Oryctolagus cuniculus: one gene and its partner. The protein of the gene in region 1 purifies or fractionates together with the protein of each later gene. This does not show direct contact. Links are inferred from orthologs where the notes say so. Each region holds a gene or a part of one and is shown in the gene's direction. Other genes may lie near its edges. The genes, in order: ABL1 and NCK1.

Evidence for each region.
Region 2: the proteins of ABL1 (region 1) and NCK1 purify together in Homo sapiens (affinity purification with western blotting; 3 studies listed by BioGRID). This does not show direct contact. The link is inferred for Oryctolagus cuniculus from reciprocal best matches to the Homo sapiens genes ABL1 and NCK1.

What each region holds. Positions count from the first base shown.
Region 1 is NC_091432.1:233,493,094-233,496,909, forward strand, and holds part of ABL1 (tyrosine-protein kinase ABL1), read left to right. Parts: intron 1-836; coding exon 837-1,021; intron 1,022-3,172; coding exon 3,173-3,325; intron 3,326-3,816. UniProt on the Homo sapiens protein: Non-receptor tyrosine-protein kinase that plays a role in many key processes linked to cell growth and survival such as cytoskeleton remodeling in response to extracellular stimuli, cell motility and adhesion, receptor endocytosis, autophagy, DNA damage response and apoptosis.
Region 2 is NC_091435.1:144,672,383-144,675,037, reverse strand, and holds part of NCK1 (SH2/SH3 adapter protein NCK1), read left to right. Parts: coding exon 1-564; intron 565-2,655. UniProt on the Homo sapiens protein: Adapter protein which associates with tyrosine-phosphorylated growth factor receptors, such as KDR and PDGFRB, or their cellular substrates. Maintains low levels of EIF2S1 phosphorylation by promoting its dephosphorylation by PP1.

The sequences.
Region 1 (3,816 bases):
AACCCTCTGATGCTGCACATTGAGATTTCCTGACTCCTGGTTTGCCGTGCACGGCTGGTCTGCTCCCTCTTCACTCAGGCACACTTAAGATGCTTTGCCGAAATCCCATTAGGCACAGCTCTTCGTGTTTAATGCCTCTCTCCTTGCTGATGCCCAGGCTCCCGCGCAGCCGTCGCTGCATGCGGCTGCCTCCTCGCACTCCTGCACCCCGGTGTGCCTTGTGCATTTGTGGTTAACATCCGTGGAGCAGAGGTTAAACGGCTGCCTCCCTGGAGGCTCAGGAGGCGGGAGGAAGAGAGTTGCGAGGAGGCATTTGGGTGAGCATCAGGAAGAGAGAGGGAGGGAGGAGGCAGAATCTAGGTGGAGGCGCCCGGGCTTTATTTTACTCCGTCCTGGTCATGCCTGGGTAGGACAAGTGGAGACTGTCCTACCTACGTTCCTTGTGACGGAGGATTGGGCTGAGCGTTGGTTGCCGTGCCAGCGTGCAGTAGCGGTAACGGCGCCCTTACGTAACTCGCCGCTGCTCTCCAGGCATTGCTGGAAGCACCTGACACGTTCGTTCATCGCGCGCAGCCCCAGGGTGTAGGTGCCTTTATCATCATCCTCACCTTACAGGGTAACTAACCTGCTGCAGGTCTCAGTGCCTCCCGGGCTGCCCCTGGCGCCGTGCTGGGGCTCAGGCCATGCGCCCAGGGGCTGGCACCGCCCCCAGCCTGCAGGGTCTGAATGCCTGCAGGGGCCGACGCCGTCTGCCTCGCCAATTCTGCACCTTCGCTTGCTGGTGGTGGATTTGGGCAGCCGAATCCTGGGGGTCTCACGGTGACCTTCCTTCCCAGGGACCTTGCTGCCCGGAACTGCCTGGTAGGGGAAAACCACTTGGTGAAGGTGGCTGATTTTGGCCTGAGCAGGCTGATGACAGGGGACACCTACACGGCCCACGCCGGAGCCAAGTTTCCCATCAAGTGGACCGCGCCGGAGAGCCTGGCCTACAACAAGTTCTCCATCAAGTCCGACGTGTGGGGTAAGAGCCGCTGCCCGGCGCAGTCCACTCCCGGGGGGCTTTGCTCCGTTCTCCTCTGCCTCATGCACCAGCTCTTTCCCTTCCAGTCCCTGGTCTCCATTACTTCTCCTTCTTTCTCACTTTATTTCTCTACTTTTGATTCGTTTTGTCTATTTGAAAGGCAGAGGAAGAAAGAGAGAGAGAAAGGGCCATTTGTTCCCAGCCGGTTTCAAACCAGGGCAAGCGTAACAACCACTACACCACAGGAACCGCCTGCTTCTTTGTCATTTAAAATCCTTTCCCCTTTGTTTTCTTGTCAAGGTAGAGTGAGAGTGAGCTTTTTCTTCCTCAGTTATGCAGAATAGCTTGCTGTAACTTATTATTGGGTCATCTTCCACTGCTTTCCCAGGCCACAGCAGAGAGCTGGATCGGAAGAGGAGCAGCCGGGGCTCGAACCGCTGCCTATACGGGATGCCGGCACTGCAGGTTTTAACCCGCTGCGCCACAGTGCTGGCCCCCAACCCTCATGTTTTTAAAAGCGAATCCCAGGCCCCATGTTATTTTGTGTCTGGTGTTCGGCTCCCAGCTAGCTGGACTGTGAAGCTCGGGCTGTTTCTCACAGTTTGCACTGAGATCCAGGTGTGGTTCCCGCAGTGCTTGGCCGGTCTTTGCCGAAGCCGCCTCCAGCCACGGCTCCCTCTCCGTGTCCTTTTTCCCTTGGTTTCCTTTTATGCAGAAGCTCCGTCGCTTGTCCTTGAGTTTCCCACGTGGTGGGTTTTCTCTGCCACCGCTGCTTCTGGGGTCCCGTCGCTGGGTCGCTGAGTCGGCAGCTTCGTCACATCCGGGCCTGCCTTGGGCCTCTTCCACCAGGACTTGGGAAGGTGGCGTGCTCTGTCCTCGGCAGTGCGTCCTGTCCGCGTGTGCCGACACCCAGCGCCTAGACGCGCTGCTTGACAAGGGATGCCAGGAGGAGGTTCCCTGGATCCGTCTTTCCTCACTCACTTATTAGCAGGCTGCTCTGCAAGAAGCCCCTCCCCTTGTCTGCCCGGGCCTTGGTGCTAGTACTAGCGTAGAAGCGGCAGGGTGAGTGCCTGCTCCTCTGCCTTTGTTTACCAGTTTTTGAGATAAGCTGGTCTGTTGATGCCCCTCCGTGGTGCCCCGTGAGGTTTTGTTGTTTGTCACTGCTGATGTCATTATGAACCGGGGAGCTTTATCTGACACATAGAGAGGGGGAGACACACACCCACACACGGAGCAAGGTATATCTTCCGTCTGCGGGTCTCTCCCCAAATGCCTGGGACAGCCGGAGCTCAGCCCGGAGCCAGGAGCTGTCCCAGCCTCTTGTGTGGATGGCAAGGGCCCAAGTCGTTGGGCCGTCATCTGCTCTGTGCTGGGTGCATTAGCTGAAAGCTGGATCAGAAGCATGGAGCGTTCGGGACTGGAACCAGGCACTCCTGTGTGGGACGAGGGGAATCCCAGGAGCTGCTTAACCCGCTGTATCTCATCGTCGGCCAGCGGGAGCTTCAGGGTAACTCCTGGTCCTCTTGGAGTTGCCCTTGGAGTCTTCCATGATGTCCATGCTGTCTGGAATGGCAGGATGCACAAGGCTCACTCACACCTGAGTCCCTGCTTCTCAGCGGAGCCCCGGTTCCTTCAACAGGGGAGGAAGTGTCAAGGCCATAAGCTGGGGTTGCAAAACTTACAAAGATTCCATGAAATTTGTTTGGCAGTTTTTTGAGTTGGCAGAGGAGATAATTCTGTACGCCTAGAAATGAGTGGCCTGTACTGGGCACACAGCAAGCCGGCCACAGAGCCACTGCGGCCTGTGCTGGGTGCACAGCTAGCCGGCCACAGAGCCACGGCGGCCTGTGCTGGGCGCACAGCTAGCCGGCCACAGACCTGTGCGTAGACTGTGGCTGCCTGTTTGCCGGCCCAGGCTCCTGACACCCCACATCCCGCGAGGTGGTTGCATTGGCTGAAAGGCCCCGGGGGGCTGATGGCTTCGCCGTCTTCCCTCCCGCAGTGTTTTCCGTCCGTGTCAGGCACTCTCCTGTCTGCGCTGCCCAGGGTGCTGGTGGTTCGTGCGGGACCAGCGGGGCTGCCTCTGCGGGTGCCCCTGGCGTGTCTGCTGCAGTGGCGTGAGCCTTCCAGCCTCCTTCTCCTTCCTTTTAGCGTTTGGAGTGCTGCTTTGGGAAATCGCCACCTACGGCATGTCGCCGTACCCGGGGATCGACCTGTCCCAGGTCTATGAGCTGCTGGAGAAGGATTACCGCATGGAGCGCCCGGAAGGCTGCCCGGAGAAGGTCTACGAACTCATGCGAGCATGTGAGCCCCGGCGCCAGTCTGGGGGGCGGCGTGAGGGCCGCGCAGAGGCCGCGGGGAGCGTGCGTGTGTGTGTGTGTCTGTGTGTCTGTGTATTCAAAAGATTGATTTATTTAAAAGGCAGAGGCAGAGAGAGAGGTCTTCCATTCGCTATTTTACTCCCCAGATGGCTACAACGGCCGGAGCTGGGTTGATCCAAAGCCAGGAGCTCCATCCAGGTCTCCACGCGGGTGCAGGGGCCCAAGCACTTGGGCCATCTTCTGCTGCTTTCCCAGGTCTTAGCAGAGAGCTGGATTGGAAGTGGAGCAGCCAGGACTTGAACCCACGCCCATATAGGATGCCGGCACTGCAGGCCGTGGCTTTACCCGCTACGCCACAGCGCTGGCCCCTGGATGTATATCTTTTTCACTTTCTTTAATGCTTGTGTGTTTGTTCATACATTGCGCACAAACGCTGCCTACCCAAACCTGGGTTTCTCCTCAGCCCTGAGTGCT
Region 2 (2,655 bases), on another chromosome or scaffold:
TCACTGATAAAAGGGACAAAGGTGATCGTCATGGAGAAATGCAGTGATGGGTGGTGGCGGGGTAGCTACAATGGACAAATTGGGTGGTTCCCTTCAAACTATGTAACTGAAGAAGGTGACAGTCCTTTGGGTGACCATGTGGGTTCTCTATCAGAGAAATTAGCAGCAGTTGTCAATAACTTAAATACTGGGCAAGTGTTGCATGTGGTACAGGCTCTTTACCCATTCAGCTCATCCAATGATGAAGAACTTAATTTTGAGAAAGGAGATGTCATGGATGTTATTGAAAAACCTGAAAATGACCCGGAGTGGTGGAAGTGCAGGAAGATCAATGGAATGGTTGGTCTGGTGCCAAAAAACTATGTCACCATCATGCAGAATAATCCATTAACCTCGGGTTTGGAACCATCACCTCCACAATGTGATTATATTAGGCCTTCACTTACTGGGAAGTTTGCTGGCAATCCTTGGTATTATGGCAAAGTCACCAGGCATCAAGCAGAAATGGCATTAAATGAAAGAGGGCATGAAGGAGATTTCCTCATTCGTGATAGTGAATCTTCGGTAAGTTGATTTTTCAAAGGTGAATGGAAACAGAGCTCTGGGTATTAAAAAACAAAAACAAAAAACAGACTGGAGAGAAGTAAAGTATCTTTCCCTAAGGTGGTAAGCTGGGACATCAACTTAAATGTTCTGAAGCTGAAGTCAGTATTTGTTCTACTTCTGTCTATTTTTAATAAAAGATACCTATAGCAGTGTTATACCATGGAATATGTGACTTTTACTAGCTCTGTTGGCTTCACATACCTAGAATATTTTCTCTTGCTTTAAACTGAAAAATAGACGAAACTGAACATTGGCTTCTTCCTTGAGAGTAGAATAATATAGTAGATGTAATTGGGAAAATATTTCTTAAGTTGTTACTGGATGCAGTGCATAATAAAGTAATCATCACAATTCCTACAACATATAGGAGATTCCCTAAACTTAAAATTTGATATTTAAATTCCTTCATAAATTGGTTGTTTAGAAGTTGGAATACACTTATTTGTATAGCTCAAAAGCCTGTTTTACATTTCCCATGTTTGAAATGCATTTACAATAATAGGAAAATTTTATTGCAATAGCTAGTAAAACTATAAAACCATGAAAATTGAAGAACATACTTATATTGAGTATTTGGGCTACTGTCTAGGATATTAGAATTTGGTAACACTTGTTTTTCTTACAAATGGCTTCTTTCCTTGATGCTTTTCCATTTATCAAATGATGTTTGGCATTTGCTTTGTGTGAATGCAGTTGCACAAAAAATGAATGTCTAATTGTATAAAAGATTGAAAGCAAGTAAGAAGAAAATGAGAGAGAGGAAAAAGAGAGGAGTAATTAATTGAACTTACTGATGTGAAGTTCATGAAAATGAGGCCTGTAGCTAAGCCCTCAGAAGAGCTCATAGTTGGTAGGAAAGAGTGATCCATTTTCCTTTAGAGATGCCTATTCTGGCTCACTGAAACTTTGGGAGTTTGAAAGTATCAGAGAGCCTTCTGGCTTTGATGCATACTATTCAGAGTGTTAGATAAAAAGATGAGCAGTTTGAATGCAAAATACTGTGTATTTCCCTGGAGCTATTTGAACATAAAAATTAGCCAAAGTTACATTTAGCGATGTTATTTATTTATTTTTTTAAAGATTTATTATTTTACTGAAAGAATTACACAGAGAGAGAGAAGGAGAGGCAGAGTGAGAGAGAGAGAGAGAGGGGAAGTCTTCCATCCGCTGGTTCACTCCCCAGTTGGCCGCAACAGCCGGATCTGTGCTGATCCGAAGTCAGGAGCTTCTTCTGGGTCTCCTATGCAGGTGCAGGGGCCCAAAGACGTGGGCCATCTTCTACTGCTTTGCCAGGCCATAGCAGAAAGCTGGATTGGAAGAGGAGCAGCTGGGACTTGAACGTTGCTCATACAGGATGCCGGCACTGCAGGCAGCAGCTTTACCTGCAACACCAGCCCCTAGTAATGCAACTCTTAAAGCAGAAGTGTCTTGGGCATATTTTATTTGGCCTGCAAAGTGTCTTTTAAACATTGGCCCACATTTAAATACTGATATATTTATTATAAAAATCTAGACTTCAGATTTCCCTTTCAAAATTGGAAGACCTTGGGATAGATGTTTAGCCTAGCAGTTAAGACCCCTGCATCCCGCCGGCGCCACAGCTCACTAGGCTAATCCTCCACCTAGCGGTGCCTGCACACCGGGTTCTAGTTCCGGTTGGGGCGCCGGATTCTTTCCGGTTGCCCTCTTCCAGGCCAGCTCTCTGCTGTGGCCCGGGAGTGCAGAGGAGGATGGCCCAAGTGCTTGGGCCCTGCACCCCATGGGAGACCAGGAGAAGCACCTGGCTCCCCCCTTCGGATCAGCGTGGTGCGCCGGCCGCAGTGCGCCAGCCGTGGCGGCCATTGGAGGGTGAACCAACGGCAAAAGGAAGACCTTTCTCTCTGTCTGTCTCTCTCTCACTGTCCACTCTGCCTGTCCAAAAAAAAACCTGCATCCCACGATGGAGTACCGAGATTGGGTTCTCAGCTCCAGCTCCTGATTACAGCTTCTTGCTAATGCAGGCCTTGGGAGACAGTGGTGATGGCTCAAGTAATTGGTTTCCCGACCACC